7 linked regions of the Mus musculus genome follow. The protein of the gene in region 2 interacts with the protein of the main gene of each other region in a pairwise test. Links are inferred from orthologs where the notes say so. Each region holds a gene or a part of one and is shown on either strand. Other genes may lie near its edges.

Region 1 (2,948 bases), on a different chromosome or scaffold from region 2:
GTGATTTCCTTGGGGATGATAGGTAGATAAGCTTACACCATCAGCCTTGCTTGGATTTCCAAGGTCACAATTAAGATTTTGGTCAAAAGGTGGCTTTTTTTTTTTTCCAGCCTTTGAATTATGCCCTGTTAAGTCTTTGCTGGACAACTTCCTCCTTGGCTTAAAGTGCATTAATTAAGCCTTAGTTTGTTGCCCTCAGGAAATCCCTTGAGGAAAAGAAAATGTTGGAAGAAGAGAGAAATCGGATCCTAACTAAACAGAAGCAAAGAATGAAAGACTTGCAGAAACTGCTGGCAACCCGGGTTAAGGCTTATGGCTCCCACCAGAGCTTGTCTCAGATAGTTAAAGCCAGGGTGAAGGAGCTCAGGTACCACGGAAGAGCCTGGGAACGCCAACATCAGCTGCCAAACTCCCTTTCCTTCCCTTTCCTTTCCTTTCCTTCCCTTTCCTTTCCTTTCCTTTCCTTTCCTTTCCTTTCCTTTCCTTTCCTTTCCTTTCCTTTCCTTTCCTTTCCTTTCCTCCTGCTTAACTAGTGGATACCTAGATATGAAAATACTATGGCATCTTAATTTATGGATTTAAATAATCTTTGGCTGTTCCTACTCAACTGTTACATATATGCACACATATACATCTTATAATGACAGTCAGTGTATTTACTTACCTCCATAGCGAGAACCATGAGACCATGTGGAACAGAAATGGCTTTGTTATGGTCATAGTTAGTAATTGCTTAAAAACCAGCACAAAACCTTATTTATGCAAGTGTGTTCTTATTTATAAATTATGTAAATATTTGGCATATATACATGCATTGCATACATACATTATACATACATACATATGTACATTATACATCTGGTGCTGGGGGCTGGGCATGTGAGGACCAAAGCCAGGATCTTGTACACAGACTGGCTGATCTGGATAAGTCAGGGAGTTCTGTTCGAAGTTTGTACCAAATACAACAGTTTGAGTGGATGCATGGTGGGTACATGCTGCCCCTCATGACTGATAGCAGCCACAGAACACCTACAGTCCTTTACAGAATACTACTAGAATTCTATAAAGCAGAGTCTGAAAACCAGCATTCCAAACATTGCACATAAAAATGGTCATGCTTAAGCAAGAAAAGGCCCTCCAAAGCTGGGTAAGTAATATGACTTATTAACTTTTAAGATCCAAATACGTACATCTATTTTATCACTGAGCCTTCCTTTACAGTATAGGATCAGCCCACTAATAGAGCCGAGTTTGATGAACTTGAGCAAAAAATTCCTTAGGAATACAGTATTTGCCTGTAGGAAGTTGAATACCAACTTACTTTGAGTAAGCATAATTTTTGTAAAGTATAATTATTTTCCGTACCCATGAAACTCTCTTGTCTTGGTTGCTTCTAGTATATCTTATACAGAGGAAAACAAAACAAAACAAAACAAAACAAAACAAAACAAAAAAACAGTGAAGTTTAATTCATTGTGGGATCTGGTCCAGAGGATGAGCACAGCGAGGTTCATGCTTTTGGCTCTGCCCTCAGTTGCTACATTCTCATGAGCCCCACTTTCTCTCTTACCTACTCCCACTTAATTAATGTTGCCACTGCCCACTAGGTGATCTCATTTAGGGAAAGAAGAAAAGCAGGGTCTTTTTATTTTGGTGTTTGAAACAAGGTTTCTCTGTGTACCCTGGGCTGCCCTAAGAACTAGCTCTGTAGGCCAGGCTCGTCCCACACTGGGATATCTGCCTGCTTCTGCCCCAGAGTTTTGGGACTAAAGGTTTGTGCCACAACTGACCAGTTTCAGGGTCTTGTTTTTGAAAGAATATTTTTTAAGATACCCATTTGGACCAGACTTTCTTGCTTTTGTATACTTTTATATAAAACACTTTTTCAGGCAAGACTGAAGTCTTTTTGCCTTGAAGACTTTGGAAATCAAAATGACCAGACCATTCCCAGGGCAGTACACTGTGTTTCTTCAAAACCTGGGCTTTTTATTCTGGATTTATGAAAATCTTGCCAGTCTAGAAAAGGAACTGGGCTGAGCTGTGCTCTCACTTCCTGGTTTGTCTTCTGAGGTGAATGTCCTAGGAGAGCTTCCGTAGCTGACCTTTAAAATGCCACTCTCTTTATCTGGTTCTAGAAGGAGTGAAAAGGCCAGGATGAGAGAATATTGGCAAGAACTGGAGGAACAAGAGGAAAAACTGCAGAAGAGGCCGATGTTGTTTGAAAGAGTCACCCAGGTTGTGTTTATTGGTTAGGGCCATCACCAGCTTTCTGTTTCTCAGTACTTCTGGCCTCCACCTTTGTGCTCCGTCTTACGGTGTCCTACAGTTGCCAAGACATGATGTTTCTGGGGCGGCTTCATCCAGTCCACCAAGAAAGTAATTTCACTTAAGATGTGACAACGCTTGTAGCTCAATAAAGAACATGTCACTAACCCCATGTACCTCAAGACATTCCTGACACGGTTTGCTTTAGAGTCTGGTCTTTTTAGTCAGATTCTGTTGAGGCTTCGGGATATCATGGGGAGGTCTTTATGAATTCAACCACTGGGTGTATGACCATTGTATGCAACATAGTGAGACCGTCTCTTAAAAGCACTTTAAATTGGGTATTTCGTTAGTTACTTAGTTAGATTACTTGTGTGTGAGTGTTTTGTGTAGGCACCATGTGCATTTCTACCCACAGACATCAGAGGTATTGGATACCGTAGAACTATAGTTGTGAGCTACCATGTGAGTGCTGGGAATTGAACCTAAGCCCTCTATAGAAATAAGTGCTCTTAACTACTGAGCCATCTCAAGGCCTAAAAGCATTAAAAAACCAAAGCAAATCTCTCTGCTTCACCATCCTCCTTAGCACGGTCCTTCCTCCCGTGGAGGCCTTTCACTCCCAAGTTCAATGGTGATCTCAAGGGGGTCTCATGATTAACCTCCCCAGTCGTATTGCCTCA
Region 2 (3,500 bases):
TGTTTTGTTTTGTTTTTTAGAGATGAGTGTTGAGACAGAGTCTTGTGTTTAGACTAGGTTACCCTTGAACTTGTGGTGATTCTCCTGCTTCCACTTCTATTGCTCAGATTATAGGCATGTACCACCATACCCAGCTTGGTACAGGACAATATTTTTGACTCACTTTCTTTAAGAAAATAATTCCAGCAATGATACATAAGGGTTTGTTGACTTTTTCTGTGGTGTATAAGATGTCAGTCAGCCATTGCCATTTACCCTGTTGAGCACTGTCAGCCCTTGATTATGATAGGAACTAGAAAGGAGTGGAGCCCCTTGGGGAAAAGGCATAAGAGTCTTGGGAGATGGTGAGCCTGGCCATGTTCTGCGAGGGTGCTCCGGCTCCTGCCTCTCCCAGTAGTAGACAGTGACCCTAGGGAAAGGCCTTTATGATATAGAGGACTGAGAAGGTCACAGTCTGGTTGCCATTCCATCCCAGGGCTTACATTTTGCCTGCTTTCTTCACTCCCACTCAGTTGAGAGATCCACTGGATCCCTGATTTGCTTCAATACCTCGTACAGTGCTAGAGCTTACAGGAAGTGAAAGGTGTGCTGCCGTACAAGTCACTGAGGTTTTACTTGATTTTAAAATACCTGGTTCTGAGAATAAGAGGCTAATGTAGCTTTAACCCAAATTCAGCAATGGCTCTTACTTTACTAAAGGTTTTACAGTATGATTAAGACTAGGGATGTAGCTCGGTGGTAGAGCACTGGCCTAGCATACATTAGGTCCTAGGTTCAATTTCCAATATGGGTGTCAAAAGTCAGGAAAACAAAAAATAAGAAAAATTATATCCAAATTAAGTCCTGATTGATGAAGTAAATAAATTAAGTCTAAAAACAATTGACAGGGTGGCTTGAACTGGTTTTCCCTGCACTGCTGGGAGCTGGAGATAGTGTGTCACAGGGAAGGGAGGGCACTGAGATCTCTGCTTCTCAAGCTACTCTCTGGGAGCGTGGCAGATGAGCTTAGTACAGTATGATGGAGTGCTCAGAACTACCTAATGGCGCCCCCTTAACATAGAGGTCTGAGCTGCACAGGGCGATCAATCCAGGTGACTGAACAAGGAAGAGAGGGGGCCGAAAAAGTGGCAGGAGGCAGGGAGCACACGGTGCTGTGCCAGCCCCTAACTATACCTTCTGTAGTAACCTTGCCCTGCACTCCTGACCCATAGTGTGATGCTCTGCTGGCCAGACTGACAGAATTGCAGGACAAGTTCAAAGCCAGCCAGGAGGAGATTGGGCACCTGCAGATGGAACAGTGTGAGCTCCTGGAGGACCAGAGGAGGCTGCAGGAGGAGCAGGGCCAGCTGCAGGAAGAGCTGCACAGGCTCACATTCCCACAGCCCAAATGTGGCATCTTGCAGAAGGTACTCATTGCCAGGGCGAGACCATTGATCAGGGGGAGGCTGCTCTGAGAGGCTTCCAGGTATAGCTGTCCATGGGGAAGAGAGGGAAGTGAGCAGTTTCCTTTCTTGCTCAGGTACCTTTTATTTTCTTACCATTCTCCCCACAGAGCTGATTTGGGTTTTTCTTCATAAAGGCTTTAAACTTTAACATTTATATTCTGAAGTCTGTGCAGTGTTATGTATTTAGCTATTTGGTCAGTCTGGAGGAAGTACACCTGAAATCAGTTTGTGAACTGTAAAATATCTACACATTGGAGTCTTTTTTTTTTCCGATTAGCAAACTTCCATGGAAAGAACCGCTTTCCCCAGAAGGGCTCTGTGAAGCAGGGAAGAGGCAGAGCCCAGCAGGGATGGGGCTGAGGAGGGCGTTTCTTCCTTAATCGCCGCCTTTCCTTCCTCCTCCCTACTCAGAGTCAGGAGCTGCTTTCAAAGCTGCAAGATCTGTGTGAAATGCAGCTGCTCTACCAAAACATGCAGGAGCAACAGCGAAAGCTGACACAAAACCAGGAGTGTGTACTGAAGGAGCAGCTAGAGGCACACAAGCATCTTCGAGGTTTCAAAGAGTCTCATTTCCAGGAAGTGTTGGCGAACCCTCAAGATGCTAGAGGGCCTAAGTCCTCCAGTTGTGAGAATAAGGTAACCACAGCAGCAGGAAGGGGTTTGGCTCTTGTGAGGACAGCTGTGCGGCAGGGAAAGGGCTCTGTAGAAGAGTTGAACCAGGAAGGCCTATTTGGATAGGAAGTAGGATGAGACTGACGCCCTTGTCAGGGTCTTCCACGGGCTCCACTACTTAGACACCCTGAGTATCTCACGCAGAGGCGCACGCTCTGCTGTGATGTTTGGATGCAGAATGATTTTCTTTTTAAAGAGCTGAAGAGAAAGCAGCATCTAGAACAGAGTTTAGGTGGCCTGGAAGGTCTGTCTGACCACTGGGTTCTATCCCCACAACATGGCATTTTCAAAATATGTGCAATCAGCTCACTGTTTGTTTTGATTCCTGTTGACCAGCCCTGAGTGTGTCATCTTTTTGTGTGGGCTAGAAAGTCTGCTCCATTGTCAGAGTCTGTAACCTTTTGAGTCTCCATAACAAATCTAGCCCCAGTCATCTCCAAGGAAAACAGTTGCAGCAGACAGGATCATGGTGCCAACTACATTATTTTACTGAACGTTGGGCCAGGTTATAGGAACTAAATAGAAAAATCATTGTTTGTCAGACACTATCAGGAGTCACTGTCATGCCTGTGAGGTAAGATGGCTAGGAATTTCTACACAAATCTGTTCAGAGTTGGGCAATAAATTTGGTCCAAGGTCTCAGTGTAAGCAAGAGCAGGTAGACAGTTTCAGTTCAGGCTAAAACTACCAGTTTTAATATTCCCATGAACAAGGAGAATCAGGAAATGGAGGAAGTCCAAACTGTGGGACTTCTTGAGCATTCCAGGGGTGTTAGATATCCAGGCTGAGAGCCTGGGTAGCATAGAAACTGGGAAGTCACGTGTAAACTGTTTCCTTGATCTAATACTGAATGTATACTTGAGGCATGGAAAACATACTTTCAGGGAGAAGGTACAGGGACTAGTGAGGAGCAAGACCTTGATTCCAAGCCTGAATCTTCCAAGAAACAAATTCATAGTCACACATTTGCAGCTGGGCTGATTGTCCCATGAGGGGTGGTGGAGAGGACTGAGCCCAAGGTCAGGATGGGGGCACTTGACTTAAGAAGATCATCGGTGTGATAGGGAGCCCGGGTGTGCGTGAGACCTACCTACACAGCTTCAGGGAGGAAGTTTCTGCCAGAGTACAGAAACCAGTAGAACGGGAGCTCTAAAATCACTTAGTATCTGTCCTGGGAGATTTTTTTCAAAGTAGCAGAAAGCTGCCCCACACCAGTCTCCTGTAGGTTAAGGCAAAGGCAAAGGCCTTGTGAAACAGAGGTAGGTGTGTGTGCTCTTCTCTCAGGTAAGCACTCACATCTGCCCTAGGAGAGGGGCAGCTGAAAGGACTGGAATATCTCACAGTAATGGTGATGTCTCCTGCCCCCTGCCTCCCCCCTAGTTC
Region 3 (4,293 bases), on a different chromosome or scaffold from region 2:
TGAGAACTCCTGGGTGATTCAGTACTCAGCTGTCTTCGTAAAGCAGGAAGAAGGGTGGGACGGGAAGTATTCAAGCCTCTTTGCTCTGGCTGAGTAACTCGAGCTCGCTGAGGCTGGCGAGTCACCACAAGCAGGTCTAGTGGATGGCTTACTTTTTAGGTCTTTAACCCAGACATCCTTCTCTGGAGAATCATGGTGTTTGAAGACTGAGGCGCTCCTATTGGGCATGGAGCTCTGGGGCCAGAAGGTGTTGGCTAAATGAGTGGCCTGAATGTCTCTAAGGGGGTGGGAGGAGTTTGGGAATGAGAAGAGAGTCTGATTCTGTGTGTGCACAACCTGGTTGGAACAGTTGACCCAATCCCTGGTCCCTTCCTGGGAAGTGAGGAGAGAGTCAGAGGAGAATGACACTCTCCCTGCAGTGTCAAGTTTACACTGAGAACAGCTGTGGGACCCAAGGTCCCTTCACCTCCTCTGCCTCTTTTTGGCAGTGTTTCACATATCCCAGGTTGGCTTCAAACTTGCTACATAGCCAATGATGACCTTGAACTTTTGATTGCCCTGCTTCCACCTCCCAAGGGCTAACATTATAGGGATAGCCACATGTCCCATTTATGAGATATCAGTGGTTAATTTCAGGGCTTTGTGCATGCTAGGTAGGTTCTTGACCAACTGGGCTGAATCCCTAGCTTTGCCTATGGTCTTCATGTCCCTTCTGACTGCATTCCCTCTATCTTCAGTGTTCTTATTGTGTTTCTGATGCATCAGTCACGGCAAACAACACTGGGTCCAGTAAAGTGTCCAATGGATAAAGCAAAAGAAACAAATGTAACACATAATTGTAGCTTGTGTGACCTCGGGCAAACAGCTCACACTCTCTCAGCCTCTGACCTGTGGAGGTCATGGCAACCTCCACCACCCTAAGGTCATTAGAAGGTGAGATGATGGTGTGCACACTGTACTTTGTATACTACCTTGCCGAGTAAGCCCCATCTAGGCAAACTATTAGCCTCCTGTCTTGCATGTTTTGCAGTGAGCATGGAACTTGGTCTGAATCTCATGATTATCTTGATGGCAACTAATTTTACAGTTGAGAAAAATCAGAGCTTATTAAGCTAAGGTCAATGTTGAGTATGTAGCAAAGCCGGAATCATTGGACTCCAAACCTTGGACTCTTTCTACCACAATATTGTCTCCCAGGAACGGCATGTTTTTGACTCAATAGAACCAATTTACAGCCCTTTGCTCTCTCTGTATATTCAAGAAACCCTAAGGAAGAGGCAGTTGGTTCCCTTTGATGACTGAGACCATTAAGGCCAGAGAATCAGCCAGTGAGCAATGCAAATACTGCCCTGCTGCTTGAAGCAGCCTTCCCTGTCAGGCCTGTGGCCAGACTTCAACCCCCTGTCCCTCCAAACCTTTCCGGTCCAGCATCAGCAGGCCCAGAGGGGAGGCTTTGAGAAGCACTGGCAAGAGAAGGAGAAACATTCAGAGAAGCGACAAGCTGGCAGCCACATGTCCTGCTTGCCCTTTCCTCCCTGTGGGTGGTATGCATTTGTAGCTCACTGGCCAGTAACCTAAGAACATACATGGCCACATCTCTAGGTCTCCCTGAAGACTCAGGCCAGCCTTCTTCTTCGTCTTGGAGCTACCTGTCCATTTGGGCAAGAGGGCCCAAGACTACTCCAGACCAGCTTCCTCAACTCTTTGTCTTGGCCCCCTGGAACCGTTTAACCAGCAAGAAGGGTTGAGTTTGAAGGGTGAGGCATATAGGGTCCTTAGCAAGGTTGGGGATTGTGCCATGCTGTTGAGTAGGAAGCCACATGAGCACACTACCATAGTGCTGCCCTTGTGAGCTGCTGCCACCTGGCAGCTGGCTCAGGGAAAATCACAGCAGGAGTTACCACACTTCATGCTAGGAAGCATGAAGGATCCAAGCTGCTCAGAAACCTATGTGTGGGAACTGTCAAGAGGCCATCCCACTTATAGCAGCTTCCTAGCGACAGGCAATCCTCTATTCCCTGATTTCTCTAGTCCCAGACTGGCCGTGTACTATATGATGAAGCTAAGTCCATCGGCAAGGTGGGAATTACCCATAGCCTGCACTACCGGTCTAACCCCTGATTCAAAAACTGGCAATAAACTGAGAAGGTGGGCAACCCCTTCTTAGGAGCAAACCTCAGAGAGGTCATCTGATTTCTCCAGATCTCAAAGCCAATGTATGAGGGAGCCAGAGTCTGAGCTGAGCTCTGGTGCCCAAACCCAATTCCGTGCAGAATTGAACCTGGACTATCTGTTGATTTTGTCTATCTGTTCACTATTAAGTGAACCCTTCCTGCTGACCCTTCACACCCCTACTGTGTGATAATGGATTTAAGAGAGGCTGTAGCAGGTGTTAAATTCCTCTCAGTATTTACAAGCAAACGGTCAACCAGACTACAGAGCTGTCACTGAGAGCCTACTTAACCCCATACCCCCCACCTCCACTTTTTATCCCTGCAGCACCTCACCTCAGGGAGGCAGGGTCCCAGTACCCACAATTTGAAGGCTTCAGTTGCCGAGACAGCTTTCTCTGATGCTCTCAGGTCCTTCTCCTTCCCTCCACCTTCTCTTGGAACACAGTCAGCCTAACAGCATGCGAAGCAGACCAGATTCGAGTCTTACTTCTCTACAGGTCCTGGGCTGTGAGCTCCTCTGCAGTGCCCGGGCTGCTAGTTCCTCTGCAGGTCTCAGACTTAGGGAGTGCTAAGCAGGTCCTAGATGGCTGAGGCAGCCGCCCCCAAAGGGCGGGCCTTAAACCCCCAAGATGGGAGGCACTTTTGCACTCCCATTTATTCTGATATCAATAAAAAAGAACTGTTGCTATAGAAACCGTTATTTCACTTGGTGAGTGGCCATGTCCGAGACTCAGAACACCATGTCCAAGCCACCCTGATTGAGAGGCACAAATAAATACATGTTCTGTCAGACTGATGAGGCATAAGAATCCTGCCAAGCTTTGTTCGGAACAAGGCGAACAAGGCGGCTCCTGGCTTCTAGGGAGGAATTTCCCTTGTTTGTATGGGAGGGGATTCCAGCACTTCCCCAAAGGGGGTGGGGGGACCAGGCTTCCTGCTGCAGTGACTGAATCTTTAGAACTTGCCTCTTGGATACTAGCAGGGAGAGAACTATAGCTTGAGTCAGTTCTTGGCAATTCTCCAGGCATAGGTGTAAGAAACATTGTGAAATGAAGTGTCATCTACAAATGTGTTGGGCAGTGGTGGCACACATTTTAATCCCAGCATTTGGAGGCAAAAGCAGGTGGATCTCTGTGTTCAAGGCCAGTCTGGTCTACAGAGCGAGTTCCAGGACAGCTAGGACTACACAGAGACAGTCTCTAACTAACTAACTAACTAACTAACTAACTTCACATAATTAGCTTCATACCTGGAACTTCACAGAAGAACCAGCAGGCTGTAGCCCAGGAGAAGGGCAGCAGATAGAGTTTGCACCTAGCCCACCCTACTCTGATCCCAGTCCTTTCTGAACTTTGGCTTTCCTGACTGTCAGCTGAGGGTAACAGTGTAGCTGTGTGTGACCTCAATGAGATGGCGTTCACTAACACAGCCTGCAGAGAACTGTCATGTGCTAAAGGCAGGGTCTTAATATGCATGCTTGTGCCTGGCCACAATGAGAATTCGTGCAAATAAAAGCTGAGGACATGGGTAGGACCCCAAAGACGGTCTAGGTGCTCGTAGATCAAAGACCTTCTCTGCACCCCTGAGCTTGTTTCCACTTGAGCATTGGGTCTAGTCTGGCTTTTGGTATTATCCCCTGCTCCGCCCCCATTGAGGAAACCAGCACCTGCCAGTGAGTCTAGGTCTGTACCCCAGTTTACTTTCTCATGGAACTTTGGTTGGCCAAGGGCAATGAGGCCCAGGATGCACATCACAGATAAGCAGACACATTTCCACATACAGTTCTGGGTTCTTTTTGGCCATAGGATCTGTTCGTTTAGTCAACATCATATATATATATTCCTGGTATGATCTAAGTGGGCATATACATGATGGAAAGGAGACAGAGACAGATATTACTCCAGTCCGCAGGGAATCCACATTCAGTGTGTGTGTGTGTGTGTGTGTGTGTGTGTGTGTGTGTGTGTGTGTGTGTATGTGTGACAGTAGATAAAGATACATACAAGAAAATGTCACCCAGTGATGTATGGCTGTAGAAAGGCTGAGTGAGGACTGGGCAGTGACTGGTAGCTTGGGAAGGGTGGGCACAGCCAAGGCTGACTCACAAGGAGTTGGTCAT
Region 4 (2,635 bases), on a different chromosome or scaffold from region 2:
AGGGCTCCCTATATTAACTCCCACATGGCTTAATTGGCACAAACAACTTTGTTCTAAGGAGAGGATTTCTGATTCTCTCTGGTCATAAGAGAGGTGGGAGGTAGGTCCCTGGGTCCCAAATAGCCATTGGGAGAGATGTTTTCTGTCCCTGCCATTCCCCAGCTGTCCACTGTGGGAGCCAAGAGTCCTTGGTGAGGATCCGCCTCTGGAACAGGCCCCTCCGCCTCTGACTCAGGCCACTTGTCTTGCAGTCCACCCGTGTTGGGATGTCTGTCAATGCTCTGCGCAAGCAGAGTTCAGATGAGGAGCTCATTGCACTTGCCAAGTCCCTCATCAAGTCCTGGAAGAAGCTCTTGGGTGAGTCTCAGAATGTAAAGGGAAGCTCTTGCTGGTCAGCACAGCATAGAGTGCTGGCTCTGCTACCCTGATTGAAACTATATATGGTGGGATATGACAAACATAGATCAGAAAGGACTCATCCCTGGGCTGGACATGGATGAAGATGGTAGAAGATGGATGTCATCTGTTGTGATGGGGAGGTGATGGCCTGGGATGTATGATCATTGAGACAAGGGTATATGCTGCAGAGGAGGTTTTCAGGCTGCAGGAGGCCAACAGAAAAGGAGATCCAGGCAGGATGCTCCAGCTGAAGGAGGAGGGGAATGGGATGGCTACCTATGCAAGAGGGTAGCTAGGCAGACAGCAACTGTTTCTGGGGACAGTGCTACTAGGCTGCAGAGATGGTTCTATTGATTAGGAAGGTAGTCTTCTGCGTTCAGTCTACTTCTATGAGACAACCCAGAGCCTGTTTCTCTTTACAGTCACATGCCCTGGTCCCCTGGTCCCTAGTTCAGGCTTTGGGCAAGGTTTCTGCCCATGTTTTCAGAAGGAGCCTTGTGTGAGGCATATGCTTGTCTTTTGGCACGGTTGGGCCTTGATGAGTCCTACAGCAGCTTGTTGGGGGGGGGGGTGTCCTAAAGAGGCTGGTGGACTTGCTGGGGACCAGTAGGAAGGTCCGGTAGCCTCCTGGCACCTTGCCTGTCAAGTAGCTTTAAGCAAAAAGGATAATGGCCAGGCTGAGGCTGGGCCCTCACCTGGCTGCCTGCTCCTGACCAGTCTACACCATCTGTTTTCTGATAATGGCAGATGTTTCTGATGGCAAATCCAGGAATCAAGGGAGGGGCACACCTTTGCCTACATCATCATCAAAGGATGCCTCAAGGACTACGGATCTCAGGTAGCATACCTGAAGGCAGGTACATACATTTATGCCTCTTGACTCAGTTTCCTCAGTGGGAAGAGGAGGCTGGTGTGCATTTGCCTGGTTACTGCCCTGAGGGAAGGTCCCTCTCCAGGGTGAGTTTTACAAGGTTTGTCAGCTTCATGTTGGATACTGTCCCACTGTTTAGTTTTCTTCATGCCCATCTGAGATGTCTGGCTGTGTCTGCCTGTCACTGGCATCACTGAGACCTTCATTAAGTAGCTCCTATCCAACAGAGCTGGCCCAGCCCCAGAGCCCTTTGCCTACTTCCTCAAATCCTATCTTTGTGCTACTCATCAGGACTGGTGAATGGGTCCCTTTATGCAAATGCTATCTGGAGCTAGAGGTGTGCACAGCTCTTATCTCCACATTTCGGTGGCAACACCATTGCTTTAAAGGTAGTCAGGACAGCCCAGTTACCATGGAGACTAGGAGCACTAGTAGTAACAGACTATAGATGAGAGACTACTTTAGCCTGGGCTGAGGCCATGACAGGCTAAGCTCTGGACTCTAGTGTAGCATTCCTGATATGTTATATCCTGACCTCAATAGTATAGTTGATTTTGCTTCAGAAAGTCACCTGATGCTGCTGATTTCCAGAGGTGGTGTGAGGAAAGAGTCTGGTAGGCACAGCATTAATTTTGGGCAAGTCTTGTGTTAGGCCCAGATGTGAGGAAATCTTGCCCAATTTCATTTGTGTTGAGTGGGGCCACCTGTGACAGTTTAAGCCTTGACTTTGGGTGACCTCCCACCTCATCTTTACTCCCGGCAACTAGATTTATCTGCCTAGTTCTGCCATTAGTAGAGAGAGATTCACAGCATGGCCCATGTCTTGGGCCTCTTAGGAAGCACTCTGGAGGTAGCAAGAATATCTCATCCCATTTTGAGCATGGAGTGTTGCTCAGACACTGACTGTGGAGGAGCTGGCATCCACTTAGGGAGTGATCTGTACTCACTGTAGACCTTCTGGCCAATGCTCTACTCTGATGAGACATAACACACAGGCATTCTAGGCTGAACTAGGGATAGATAAAGTCATTTAGCCTAGTTAGAGGTCTGTCAGGATAGAGCAAATAGACTTCGGAGGTCAGCATGGTATCTACATTTGCTTTTCTGGGGATCACCTGTGGCCTAGGAAAGGTCAGGGGACCACCCCGAAGTATCATCAGCTACTGGAGATGTGCAACTGAGCACAGCAGGTTCAATCTGAGTCCAGCAGGCTTTGTCTCTTTAGCTGCAAGAAGCCAGATCCACCTAGGACCCCATCCACTCCAAGGATCACTACATTTCCCCAAGTGCCCATCACCTGTGATGCTGTACGAAACAAATGCCGAGAGATGCTGACTTTGGCCCTGCAAACTGACCGTGAGTGTT
Region 5 (4,123 bases), on a different chromosome or scaffold from region 2:
CTTCAATCATTTGTTTTTAAAAAGATTTATTTGGGCTGGTGAGATGGCTCAGTAGGTAAGAGCACCTGACTGCTCTTCCAAAGGTCCGGAGTTCAAATCCCAGCAACCACATGGTGGTTCACAATCATCTGTAACAAGATCTGACACCTATTATTTCACGTTTATGAGCATTTTCCCTGCATGTAAGCCTGTTTGCTTGCCTAATGCTCAAAAGGGTAAAAAGAGGTCTCCTGGGACAGTTACAGATACTTTTTAGCAGACAAATGGGTGCTGGGGATCGAACCCAGGTTCTCTGCAAAAGAAACAGGCACTCCTAACCATAGAACCAACTCTCAGTTTCTCTTTTACTGTGGGATGTTACAGAAGACTGGAGTAAAATCACATTTGGCAACCTAGATGTGTGGTGCTGTCTCTTCCATTTGGATAATGCGGATCAAATTCAAGTTGTTGGGTTTCTCTGTAAACCCCTTGGCTTGCTGAGTCAGTCCGCACTGACCTTCAAAATGATTTTTTTTTTTTTTTAATGAAAATGCTCTTAGCCCAGCTTCTATCTCAGATCTAGGTGTCAGCCTCCCAGCCTGTTACTCCTCCTATGGTTCAATGTACCCCTTGGTCAGAGAGTAAAATCAAGGTTCCACGGGAAGGGAAATCAGTGCCTGGTGGTCATTTCCCCAGTCCTCCGTTTATAAAGCATACGTTCATTTATTGATTTAGGTCTGTGTGTGATGCACATGGCACAGCACACAGTGGAGTTCAGAGGACAACTTGCTGGAAAACCATTCTCACATTCCACTTTGTGGGTTCCGAATGCAAGTCGTCCACTAGGTGGCGAGCACCTTCAAGTGCTGTGCAATCTCACCAGACCCATTTTTTTTCAACGTAGTAAGAAAAACTACACCTGGCCGTACTGCAGGGGCGGGGGGTGCCTCTTTGGAACCTAACTCCTTCCTTAGAAGCCTACTAAAAACGCCTCTTCTGCCGAATATCCCCGGTCCCCATCTCCACACCCTAGCTCACCGGTCAGAATGGGGACTACTGGCCCTTTAAGGAGCTCCGCCCCACAGCACGCCGCCAGTCGCCTCCGATTGGTCCCGAGCGCGCCGGAGCGCAGCCGAACTTGACGCACCCGCCCGCAACCTGCCGACGCACCTCCCACGCGGCTCCGCAGATCTTCAGCCAACCACCGCCCGGCGCGCCGAGACTAATCTGCATGACCCCACCTCTCATGGAGGCCTCAGCCAATTAGAGCGCTATCCTTGGGTTCATTAGCATGAGGGCGGAGCGGGCGCGGGCGCTTGGTTGGACCGTCGCCGCGTCTCAGGTCCCGGGAAAGTTTTTTCAGAGGTGAAAAGAGCCGGGAAGTCCGGGCCTGCGCGGGGCGGGGGCTGCGGGGCGCGGCCTCCGGGACTCGATCTCGCAACAAAGGATCGCGGGGCCTCCTGCCCGAGGACCTCCCCGCCCCGGGATCCGCCTCCCCGGTCCGGGCCCCCCGGGGATCGCCCTGCGGTTCCCATCGAGGTGGCAGGCAGGACCCCCTGACCTTTGCCGGCTTCTGTTCCAGATCCCGCCCGGAGTGGCCATGTCCCACGGTCCCCGGCAGCCAGGCGCAGCCACCGCGTGAGTGCGCCTCCCCCAGCCTGTCCCGACCCTGGATAAGCCCTGTCCCCATCGTCGGGTACCCCTGGAAATGCCTTGTGTCCATCTCGAGTACCAGGGGTCATGCCCTGTCTCCACCCCGGGTACTCCTGGACATGTCCTGTCCTGCATCCTTGGGAACTCTTAAACATTCCCTATATCCACCCTCGGGTACCCCTAAACACACCATGTCCACGCTGGGATCTCTGGACATACCCTGTCTCATCCTCAGGTACCTCTGTGTACCTCTGTTTTGGGAACCCCTGATCCTGTCCTGTCCCTATACCCTACCTACCTTATCCCCACTACAGGAACTTCTGACCATGTCCTGTCACCCTTCGGGGATTTCTGTACTCCCTGTAGAACTGCCAAGACACCCTATGGCCTTCCTCACTATCTCATCTTCCTCCCAGGCCCCAGGACCAACTCACCTCGTCCTCCGTCCCCACCCCGCCAGTGGCCTACTGTGATCCTTGGATCCTCAAACTCTGGGTCCCCACCCCCTTTTTCCAGGCTCATGCGTGCTCCCACATACTTCTGTGATCTCCAATGACAAGAAGGGGATGGGTAGGTATGGGGGAATGATTTTGGCACTGATGGATGACGCTGGTTTCCATTGTCCCCAAGACCTGCGGGAGGCAAGACTCCGGGCCAGCACGGGGCCTTTGTAGTGGCTGTCAAGCAGGAGCGCAGCGAGGGTTCCCGAGCTGGAGAGAAGGGGCCCCAGGAGGAGGAGGTGAGTCCCCATCTGAAAAGCCTGGCCGGCCGCTGGCTCAGCAACACATACCTCACAAATCCAGACTATAAGATCCTCCCACTGCCTAGCAAGAGGCCACACCCCAGCCTAGCCTGTCAGTGGCTTCAGCCCCACCCCTAGGAGGCTGTCTTGGTGCAGGACCCGTAGGTTCTCTAGAGTTCTGACCCTTGATCTGCCGACCTACCACTAGACTAGGCCCCGCCCATATGCCCCAGACCCCCACCCACACTTCCCAGAGCCCCTCCCAAGGACACAGCCTCCTCCTGCAGCCAGTGAAGAAGCGAGGCTGGCCCAAAGGCAAAAAAAGAAAGAAGATTCTCCCAAATGGGCCCAAGGCCCCCGTCACTGGCTATGTTCGCTTCCTGAATGAGAGGCGGGAACAGATTCGCACCCGCCACCCGGACCTTCCATTCCCGGAGATCACGAAGATGTTGGGCGCCGAGTGGAGCAAGCTGCAGCCGGCAGAGAAGCAGGTAGAGACCAGAGAAAGGGGTGGCAGAAACAGGAGGATCCCTGGGCAAGCCCCATCGGTGAGAGACCCAGGCCCAAAGAACAAGGTGGAGAACGTCCAGTAGTCCTGGAGAAGGGACCCTCTCTCTGTGGGTTGGAGGGAGGAAGGGAGGCAAGGGAGGGGTTACGAATACATCAGTATGAGGGGAGTTGGGGGCCTGGCTCTGGCCACATCTGTGTGCCTACCTTCGTTTGGGCTGGCCCTAGTTTGAGGATGCTGCCCCCCTCCTAGCGGTACCTGGATGAGGCAGAGAAGGAGAAACAGCAGTACTTGAAGGAGCTGTGGGCATACCAGCAGTCAGAGGCCTACAAGGTCTGCACTGAGAAGATTCAAGAAAACAAAATTAAAAAAGGTGAGTGAGCCAGGCAGTAGTGGTGCACACCTTTACTCCAGCACTTGGGAGACAGAGGCAGGTGGATCTCTGCTTTTGAGACCAGTCTGGTCTGTAAAGTGAGTTCCAGGACAGCCAGGGCTACCCAGAGAAACCCTGTCTCAAAAACAAACAAAAGCCGGGCGTGGTGGCACACGCCTTTAATCCTAGCACTCGGGAGGCAGAGGCAGGCGGATTTCTGAGTTCGAGGCCAGCCTGGTCTACAGAGTGAGTTCCAGGACAGCCAGGGCTACACAGAGAAACCCTGTCTCATAAAACCAAAACCAAACAAACAAACAAACAAACAAAAACCCAACAACAATAAAAGGAAAGGTGAATGGGCCCAAACTCCCCTCATAAGCATAAAGGTTTATGTGGGGCCGTCCAGGTGGGGCCTCTGGACTGGGAGGGTGCTGGCTGACCTGCCTTCCTCCCTCCCCACTAGAGGACTCCAGTTCTGGGCTCATGAACACCCTCCTGAATGGGCACAAGGTAAGGGCCTCTCAGTCCAGAAGTACTTAAGAGAGAAGATACCTACCCCCAAAGCTAGTGTGTTCCATAGATAAAAGCAAGACCACTGTGGAGACACAGTGACTCTGTGGTGGGGCATAGCTTAGTGGTGAAGTCATTGCCCAGAATGCACAGAACCAAGGGCTCTACCCCCACCACCACCCACCCACCCCACCATGAGAGGGCCTCATGTATAGAGTGCTGACCTGGCATGCAGGAAGCTGGGGACTCCAGCGCCACTCAGAGTTAAGAACACTCACTGCTCCTGCACCCCCTTGGGTGTGAGCACAGACACCTCTAACTCCAGTTCTGGGGCATCTGCTAACCTCCTCTGGCCTCT
Region 6 (4,210 bases), on a different chromosome or scaffold from region 2:
AGAGCCCTTGATTTCCATAATTCTTCCTTTCTTTAGTTCTGCTACAAATAGTAACTGCTGTTGCATCAAAGAATGCAAAGTATATAAATTAACTTGAAGAAAGGTAACTGGAGGAGCCTACAATAAAACCCAAAACAAAACAAAACAAAACACTCCATACCCCCAAATAAAAACCAGGGCTGCTGGTCAACTGTGACACTCTGGAGAATTAAGCCCACCCAGAACAAGGCAGAGAAAACTCTGCACCCCTCCCCCTCCCAGTGCAGACTCTTCCTGCCCATGGTCTGTGTCACCCACTCCCAAAAGCAAAGCCCTGTGTACCCAACCCCCACCCTCAGCTTTGAGGCTAAAAGACCCTCTCAATATTGGAGGTCTTTGAATAGGGCAACTCCACCCTGCAAGCTCATCTTCTAACAGCTGTCCTGAGGTGGCAGGCAACCTGCACATCCATCCAGCAATGGTCCTCCTCCCACTGAAAAGGAAGATTTTTTTCCCACAGCCAAGCACCTTTCATTCCTTCCTAACTGGCTGTCATTGTTTCCTTTGCTATATACTCTACATTACTTATTTACTATCTTAAAATACAAGCTCAGTGACATCCTTCTGAACAGAAGGCACTTGGTGACTGAAGCCTTATGCTATTCATTTGGCCTTCATTTTCCTTGGGATGAAGACTTCCCTGACTTTCTAAGACTGGGCTAAATGTTCCTCTAGCCAACAATATCAAATAGTATTACAACTGTATTTTACACATAAGTGTTTGTTTGGTTGGTTTTGTTTTGTTTTGTTTCCGAGACAGGGTTTCTCTGTGTAGCCCTGGCCTGGCTGTCGTGGAACTCACTTTGTAGACCAGACTGGCCTCGAACTCAGAAATCTGCCTGCCTCTGCCTCTCAAGTGCTGGGACTAAAGGCGTGTGCCACCACCGCCTGGCCACATAAGTGTTCTAATAAGATGAGGGGTATCTTTCTCACTCTTCTGTAGAGGGATTTTAATTCGGCAACATAGCTACTCTGGTTAGAACACAGATACACCCTTAGTACACACCTTTAATCCCAAACAATGAAGGCAAAGTTTGTAGAAGGAAGCAGCTTTGTTTGAAAGTGAAGTCTAACAGAGAGGGAAACAAAGTGATGAATCAGAAAAAGATTCAGTAGACTAGGATCTACCCAACTCTCATGAGAGAGGAGAGAGAGGCAACATAGGAGGGAGCAGACAGAGGGAGAGAGGAAAAGAGACAGTGTTACCGGGAGAGTTTTACAGAGACAGGGTGAAGAGAGAACAAGCTAGACATGACAGGCTGAGCCAGAGAATAAGGAGGAGCCAGAAGAGTAGAACACATTGCTAAAGTTAGTTTGAAGCCAAGCAGAGCAATTCAGTCAGAAGCAAGAGACGCCAGTTTGAATCAGTCAGAGGAGTTTGGGCCAAAACAGCTGAGTTGAACCAGAGAGCAAGAATTCAGAAAGAGCTAGAAAGAGTGAGCTTATTCAGCAGGAAGTCTCAAAAGCTGGAAACACTATAGGCCTTTACAGAAGCTAGAAGCTTGCAGGATTGGGCCTAGATTAGCTGATGGAGGCAGTAAGCCTCCAGACAGCAATTACAGCAGGAGAATAAAAGTTATTGTTACACTTTTCTCATGTTAAAAGCCTCATTAATTTTTATGGTTTTGGATTTTTCAATGAGTGTATTGTTTGCATGTATGCCTGTGCCCCAGGTTTATGCCTGGTGTCTACTGAGGTTAGAAGTCATCAGATCCTCTGGAACTAAAGTTATGAATGGCTGTGAGCTGCCAAGTTGGGGCTGAGAATCGAACTTAAGTACTGTATAAGAACAATTCTTAACTACTGCACCATCTCTTTAGTTCCAGATTAATATTTTATGACTATGTTTACTTTGTAAAACAAAGGATTAAAATCGAATCCGATTACCAGTCTATTAAAAACCTTCCAAAAACACCTTTAGAGAAATGACCATATCGTTCAAAGATAACACATTTAGGAGGTTTTTATAGGCTTCTTTTCATACAGAACCTTCCAAACCTAAGGACATTTGAAGTTCTTTTCAGTCTCAGACACAAGAGACTTGCTTTCAAAGATCCCCTTCGGATGCTATCTGACTGAGCAAAGACAGCACAAAACAGATCCCTGTAAGGGCAAAGGTGCAATGGCAACGCTTAGGGATTCCTAATCCATTCAGCACGGGCCTATGTGCAAGAGGACAGCAGAAGCAGCGGCGTCGGTTTTTTGTTTTGCTTTTTTGTTTCTTTTCTTTTTTTTTTTTTTCCAGTTTGCCTGTCTTAAGGCTGCTCCTTGGCCTTCCAAACAATGATCCCCAAATCCTTGCCTCAGTCACCCAACCAAAGGTGTTGAGCACCTGCACTATTTCTCTCCCGGCAAGCCACGACGGAAAGGAAGCAATCCCAGATGGCGTCGGCACCAGAGTTTCCGAGGGGAAAAAAAAAATTTTTTTTCACTGAACGGGTCACAACCAAGCCTACCACGCTTACCAGATGGACGCTCCCAGTTAACCACGGCCTCCAGAACCGTTGGTTCGCGGGCAAAGACAAGTGTCGCGGTGGCATCTGGGAATTGTAGTTTCTGTCGCAAACAGAGCGCGTAGTTAGCATTACAACTACATTTCCCAAAAGCCAACGCAAAGCCCTGCCTGCTTGGCTGTCACTCATAATTCTATCCCATTTCTACTTGGAATACTATAGAGCACCTTTATTTGTTCGGCTTTTCTTGTTCGATAAACATCTCCGGGCATCTGTACTCCTTACTTTTCTTTCCCCTTCTTCAAACCAGCGCCTCCAAACGTCGAGAAAGGACAACACCGCGGAAAGCGCATGCGCCCTGGCCGGCGTCGCGCATGCGCAGCAGCCGGTCTTAGTCAGTGGCGCGCTGGACTCGGGGTCCGGAGGTACTCTGCCCGAGGGCGGGGCTGCTTCCAATGGCTGTCTTTGCGGGTCGCGTGTGCCTGGGCGGAGAGGCAGGCATGGGGCAGGGGCGGCTCCCGGCGGTCCCGGGCGGGGACAGGGGAGGGGCTGGGGGTGAGGACCCCGTCTCCCCTCCCTGCTCCCGCCCTCTGGGCCGATCCCCACCGACGGGGCTGGGCGAAGGGGCGGGCTCTGTGCCTGGGGCCCTTTGCTTCAGCCGTGCAGCCCTGGGCTCGATGACTGCTGGATTGCGGGGTGCCCTCTGGCTTGGCGGAGGTGGGCGAGGACAGAGGAGTAAGAGGAGCATCGGCGTACCCCGGGGGACAAGAACCGGCAGGGTTGGGGACGCCGCCCTTAGTCGCCGCTGACACTGTGATTGGCGGACACTGCTCCCCCGGAGCACCGGAGCCTCGGGCCCCAGCAGCTAAGGGCCAGGGTCTACCGCCTACCCCGCCAGCACCCGCCCGCTGCCCTGCCGCGGCGCTAGGAGGAGCCGAGGGGGGCGGAGACTGGTGTCGGAGGAGGGCGGGGTGGGAACGGTCGAGAACCAGCCGCTGCACAGACAAAAAATCGAATGGCTGGAGAACCTTCTACTGTTTACCAGCCTTTTGGGACCAAGCACGGATTTGACAGCTCCACAACGTGAGGATATCCGCTGACCCTGCGACACAGAGAACACTTCCCCGGGACTCTGTGTCCAGCTAACCAGCTCTGTGAGATTGCAACTTTCCAAGTTTGTTCTTTTCAATCTCTGTCAGAAGACTGCCCTCGTGTAGGAGAGGGTGCCTGGGTGATCCGCCTTGTGGATCGATTTGAAAGCATCAACTTTAAAAAGCACGTGTGATTCCCAGTGCCATCCAGACGCCTGCTTTCACGACGGCTGGATTTCTCTGACTTTATTCTTAGCGTTTCTCGTTGTTTTTGTTTTTTGTTTAAAAAACAAACAAACGACGGGCTGCTTTGGGGGAATGCTGAAAGGTAACTGACTAAACGCTGAAAAAGAAAAAGCTCTTGATTGTCATGGCTGAAGGAGAGAATGAAGCGAGATGGGAGGGACTGTGCAGCAGAGACACGACTACTAGAGAGACAGCACTGGAAAACATTAGGCAGATCGTTTTGAGAAAAACCGAATACCTTCGTTCAGCGAAAGAGACACTTTCCCGACCTTCAGACGGACTTTCAAACGCGGTTTCTTTGGATGGGATGAATAAACTTCTTGCTCATCTGCTTATGCTCTCTAAGAGATGTCCCTTTAAAGATGTGCGAGAGAGAAGCGG
Region 7 (4,300 bases), on a different chromosome or scaffold from region 2:
TTCCAATCCTAGGCCTAGGTTAGCAGATGGAAGCTGTAAGTCTCTGAGATGACAATTATACCAGGTGAACAAAAGTTACTTTTACATTTTTCCTTAGTGGGAATGGATTTCATTACACTGAGGCTTCCTGTAGATCAGCCTCACATGCAAAATGGCAGCTCATGTGTGCTGCTGGCTCCCCTGACTTTGATGACATTAGCAATATCTCATATGTTGATGCTAATGGTATATGTCTGTGATACCTTAGCCTATGAAATATAAGGGAGATGAGCAAATTCCTAAAACAAACATAAAATGGGTACTCATTGTTGTATGCAAATCGTACCTAAGTTGACTTCATACAGATGTTAAACCTGAAAGTCACTTTTGGGAGATGGAATATGGGTCTTGACCAAGTTGTGTGATGGTTAGTAAGCCTTGGGAAGCTACCCTCTGAAATCGTAAAAAAGTTGTATTCATTTATCATCTTCCAAGCATAATCTAGGCTTCTGACAAATTAGACCCAACCACTATATTCTACATTCACTTGCAGGGGGTGGGTGGACCCTCCTTGGGATTCCAATTCCCCTTCAAACTCTGCCAATCTGAAACACCGTATGGCTTTGTGAAGGGCTCAGTGTATCAGGAATCATGGGGTTTATGCCGTGTCCTAAGTGCCCTCACCTGGGCCTGTAATGGTTAGCCACAGAAACAAAGTCCCCCTTTGCTGGAACTGTCCCCACTAGTTCCCCCTCCTCCTAGCCTCTGTATGGCCCTCTCCCGCGGCGGGCCTTCCTCATTGGCCAGCCAAACACAACCGACTGTGGCAGCCAATGGGAACCACCCTCCTGAACATTCAGAGGGTGGGTGCTCGTGGTGTGATGAGGGGAGGTTGGCGCCTGGTACGAGCCCCCCTACATCTGGCAAGTCTTTGACAGAAACAGTAACACCCCCTACACACTCACGCCCGTGCCCCGTGTCTGCCTCCTTTCAGCTGCGTGGGGGCCCTCCACAAGCCACTGCGTTCACTGGTGTCCTGGCAGTGTCCTCCCCAATTCCTTGGGCACCAAAGAGTGCACCTGCTTACTCAGTAAGACTGAATACCTCCTTTTCCTAAGACTTGGTGGGGGGAGGCAGGGAACCACAGTGGCGCAGCTGTCAGTGGCTGTGGAGGTGTGAACAAGGTATCTCAGATCCCGACCCCTTAATGCTGCACCGGACTCGAAACTCTCCTGCGATGCCTTAGGGTACAGCGCTCTTTGTCTTCCCCAGCTGTGCTCACTGCCCACCGAGCCTATGCGCTCAAAGTAGGGGTGGGAAGCCTGAAACCCACCACAGAACTGGGGACAAGAAGAGAAGGCTCGCCTGAGGCGCTGTGTTCCACACTCCTCATCCCTTCCCTGTTGTGCTTAGGCTTTCTCCCTCCAGTGTGTCCCTGGGGTCCAGAAGGGGAGGGTCTAAGCAAAGGCGCGGCACAGCCTGAGCCTGCAGTCCCAGAGCTCACACACCGGCAGAAGGAGACCTCTCAAGGCTGGCCCAGTCTCCATTTCTTCTCTCTCAAGCTTTTGTGTCTGTGCCTTTGAGCTGAAAGGAGGGTGCACTAGGAAAGGAGGAGGGGTGCCTGGGGTGAGAGCACCCTCTTCACGCGCGCGCGCACACACACGTTGCCGGCGCACGCACACACGGGCGGACACACACTTCCAGACGCGCGTGCGAGCACACACACATACACACACACACACGCACAAAGCTCTCTCGCTTTGAGCGCACTAACGTGGCCGCTTTCTTTGTGTGGAGCCCTCGAGTGGGGTTGGGACCCGGGTCCTGTCCCGGGGAGATGGCACAGCCCATCCTGGGCCATGGGAGCCTGCAGCCCGCCTCAGCTGCTGGCTTGGCATCCTTGGAGCTCGACTCATCGATGGACCAGTACGTGCAGATTCGCATTTTCAAAATCATCGTGATTGGGGATTCCAACGTGGGCAAGACCTGCCTGACCTTCCGCTTCTGCGGGGGTACTTTCCCAGACAAGACTGAGGCCACTATCGGTGTGGACTTCAGGGAGAAGACCGTGGAAATCGAGGGCGAGAAGATCAAGGTGATCCTGCTGGTCAGGTCCGGGCAGGGAGGAACCTGGGAGGGGGTTTCCGCCTGAGGTATATTGCTAGTGATAATAAATGACTAGCTTTGGCTGTGTCGCCACCTGCCGAGCTCAAGACCCTGGGCACATCCACAACCCTTTTAGCTTCTTTCAGGGGCCCATCCCCACCTAACCCAAATTTTCTGGCAAGCCAGGGTGGTTGCATTCTTACCCTTTGCCCCTACCTGACAGCTTTGGCCGGGAAAAGCAGGTTTGAAATTGTTCTCAATCCTAAACGGGAGAGACACCCCTGAACACAGAAAGGCCTGAGACATCTCTGGTCCTAGTTTTGTGGGATGGATCTCAAAGCACTTTACACATTTTGAGGTCCTTTCTACCTCTTGGGTGCCAATAGGCTGCAAAAAAGAAAAAAAAAAGTCATCCTGGCTAAGCCCTGTGACATTAGAGAGGTTGGGAATAAATGGAGCAAGAACACGGCTTTATTTTAGAATGCAGTTTATACTTGTGAGTAGAGCTGACTTGAGATGGAGGTGGCATGGAGCATGGTTATGTCACAAAGCCCTTTTAAAGGCTGAGACACAGTCACCTGCTGGCTCTTCATAATCTCCCAAAACTTGTTCTTTGGGGGCAGTCCCTCCCAGATGCTTGCTGCTTTAGATCGGTTTGGATGAAGCTGGTGAATGAAGAGCCCATTACTCATTCTACTGGCATTGTCTTCAGAAGGCTTGTTGGGAAACACACAACAACTTCTCTGAGGGTCAGGGGGAAGTGCCTTGACATAGTTTACTAAATAGGCCAAGTACAAATATTTTTGTATGTTCATTTAGTGTAGCGAAAGTAGAAACTCGGTAAGACAGGGTATGTCAGTGTGTTGGGAGGGGGTAGCAGGAAGCGGGGTATGGCAAGGACAGCTTTGTGTGTCATAGAAAGCTTGTAAGAAGACACCGGGGTTACTAAACACCAAGTCCTCTAGACTCATAGCTGGCCTTTGCTTGAGCAGGACCCCCGGGGAAGTCAGAGATGAAGGTAAACTTGTTGGTCAAACAGCTGAAGGAGACACATGCCCTGTCCTGTGTTCTGAGTGACACAGAGTGAAGGACTGGTGAACTGGAGAGAATGACAAAACACCCCAAATTGTGCAAGATTTCTTGGTGATCAAAATGATTGCATTTTAAAATGACTTCAGCAAACAAGCCAAAGCACTGTGCTTTAGGAAGATGGGTGGAGAGAGAAGGAGAGATTCTGGGTCTGGGAGATAATAGATTCTTTTGAACTTCTGATCTATTTTAGCTCTTTCCAATCTGAGGCGACAGGGATGGCCTTTTAAAGCCAATGCGGGGATCTGTCTTTTTTCTTTTTCAAGGACTCTTCATGTTGAATGTTTGCACAGGTCAGGGCTTCTTCCTTGACGGTGCCTAGTTTCTTTAATATATGGCTATAAGACATTGGAAAGTCTAAGACGTGATTTTTTTATAATCAAAGTAGAAATAAATCAATGGATGCATTTTAAAACACCTTCAGAATCATGTTTAATGTTATCATTTACTTAAAATCAGCTATTACAGTGAGCTGAAGTGTTTCCTGGGCTTAAAAGTTGGAGCAGCATATTAAATCCCTCTGAAGTTTGAGTGGTGGGGAAACAGAAGTGCATGGGAGTCTAGGAGGGAAGGGAGATGAAGGGGGAGAAAGGGAAGAGGAGAAATGAGGGGTAGGAGGTGAACAGTGGATGGAGTTATCAACCAATGGCCTTGGGGAGGGCTTTAAACCATTACCCCACCCCACACCCCACACCCTACCCCCGGCCCTGGCCACAACCACCACCCCTGGACTTAACCTAACTAACTGGCTTTCAAGTCCCTGCCAAATATCCTAGACTTTTTTTCCCCAGAGGGCAGAGCCTGTGACAGTGTGACTCACTGGAAACAGATCAGCACAACACCCCGTGCAGATAAGTGCTTAATATGGGTTTTGAGGGGAAGATGATATTTCTAAAAGGACAAAGCCTTGTAACACAGTTCAAGGAGGAACCTCTGAGGACAAATTGGGCAAGAAACCTCAGTGGAGTGTGGGACCTGGGACATGCTGACCTCACTCCCCTGTAAGCTGTTGAATCGCTAAGGCCAAAGCTGGCAGGTGAGAGACCAGAGTGTCTGTGGCAAGATGGCAGAACATGGCAGCTGGCAAGAAATCAAGAAGGACGTAGATTGTGCTTCATGCTTTTTC

Evidence for each region.
Region 1: the proteins of Ccdc136 (region 2) and Fam161a interact in binary tests that used the Homo sapiens proteins (3 or more experiments, as listed by UniProt). The two-hybrid records come from large-scale screens. The link is inferred for Mus musculus from reciprocal best matches to the Homo sapiens genes CCDC136 and FAM161A.
Region 3: the proteins of Ccdc136 (region 2) and Fam107a interact in binary tests that used the Homo sapiens proteins (3 or more experiments, as listed by UniProt). The two-hybrid records come from large-scale screens. The link is inferred for Mus musculus from reciprocal best matches to the Homo sapiens genes CCDC136 and FAM107A.
Region 4: the proteins of Ccdc136 (region 2) and Tcea2 interact in binary tests that used the Homo sapiens proteins (3 or more experiments, as listed by UniProt). The two-hybrid records come from large-scale screens. The link is inferred for Mus musculus from reciprocal best matches to the Homo sapiens genes CCDC136 and TCEA2.
Region 5: the proteins of Ccdc136 (region 2) and Hmg20b interact in binary tests that used the Homo sapiens proteins (3 or more experiments, as listed by UniProt). The two-hybrid records come from large-scale screens. The link is inferred for Mus musculus from reciprocal best matches to the Homo sapiens genes CCDC136 and HMG20B.
Region 6: the proteins of Ccdc136 (region 2) and Cep57l1 interact in binary tests that used the Homo sapiens proteins (3 or more experiments, as listed by UniProt). The two-hybrid records come from large-scale screens. The link is inferred for Mus musculus from reciprocal best matches to the Homo sapiens genes CCDC136 and CEP57L1.
Region 7: the proteins of Ccdc136 (region 2) and Rab33a interact in binary tests that used the Homo sapiens proteins (3 or more experiments, as listed by UniProt). The two-hybrid records come from large-scale screens. The link is inferred for Mus musculus from reciprocal best matches to the Homo sapiens genes CCDC136 and RAB33A.

The regions. Positions count from the first base shown.
Region 1 is NC_000077.6:23,021,295-23,024,242, forward strand, and holds the end of Fam161a (protein FAM161A), read left to right. Parts: intron 1-199; coding exon of another isoform or gene 200-367; exon of another isoform or gene 368-1,147; intron 1,148-2,135; coding exon 2,136-2,253; 3' UTR 2,254-2,448; downstream 2,449-2,948. UniProt on the Homo sapiens protein: Involved in ciliogenesis.
Region 2 is NC_000072.6:29,413,575-29,417,074, forward strand, and holds part of Ccdc136 (coiled-coil domain-containing protein 136), read left to right. Parts: intron 1-1,211; coding exon 1,212-1,406; intron 1,407-1,856; coding exon 1,857-2,081; intron 2,082-3,497; coding exon 3,498-3,500. UniProt on the Homo sapiens protein: May play a role in acrosome formation in spermatogenesis and in fertilization.
Region 3 is NC_000080.6:8,306,978-8,311,270, forward strand, and holds the start of Fam107a (actin-associated protein FAM107A), read right to left. Parts: upstream 2,801-4,293; 5' UTR 2,508-2,800; intron 1-2,507. UniProt on the Homo sapiens protein: Stress-inducible actin-binding protein that plays a role in synaptic and cognitive functions by modulating actin filamentous (F-actin) dynamics. Mediates polymerization of globular actin to F-actin. Also binds to, stabilizes and bundles F-actin.
Region 4 is NC_000068.7:181,683,297-181,685,931, forward strand, and holds part of Tcea2 (transcription elongation factor A protein 2), read left to right. Parts: intron 1-251; coding exon 252-357; intron 358-1,146; coding exon 1,147-1,237; intron 1,238-2,495; coding exon 2,496-2,626; intron 2,627-2,635. UniProt on the Homo sapiens protein: Necessary for efficient RNA polymerase II transcription elongation past template-encoded arresting sites.
Region 5 is NC_000076.6:81,347,628-81,351,750, reverse strand, and holds the start of Hmg20b (SWI/SNF-related matrix-associated actin-dependent regulator of chromatin subfamily E member 1-related), read left to right. Parts: upstream 1-1,323; 5' UTR 1,324-1,579; coding exon 1,580-1,617; intron 1,618-2,262; coding exon 2,263-2,371; exon of another isoform or gene 2,372-2,661; coding exon 2,662-2,865; intron 2,866-3,109; exon of another isoform or gene 3,110-3,134; coding exon 3,135-3,255; intron 3,256-3,718; coding exon 3,719-3,765; intron 3,766-4,123. UniProt on the Homo sapiens protein: Required for correct progression through G2 phase of the cell cycle and entry into mitosis. Required for RCOR1/CoREST mediated repression of neuronal specific gene promoters.
Region 6 is NC_000076.6:41,807,069-41,811,278, forward strand, and holds the start of Cep57l1 (centrosomal protein CEP57L1), read right to left. Parts: upstream 2,801-4,210; 5' UTR 2,720-2,800; intron 2,596-2,719; 5' UTR 2,580-2,595; coding exon 2,505-2,579; intron 1-2,504. Other genes in the region: Sesn1 (sestrin-1), read left to right, coding at 3,954-4,210. UniProt on the Homo sapiens protein: Centrosomal protein which may be required for microtubule attachment to centrosomes.
Region 7 is NC_000086.7:48,517,785-48,522,084, forward strand, and holds the start of Rab33a (ras-related protein Rab-33A), read left to right. Parts: upstream 1-1,500; 5' UTR 1,501-1,816; coding exon 1,817-2,074; exon of another isoform or gene 2,075-2,091; intron 2,092-4,300.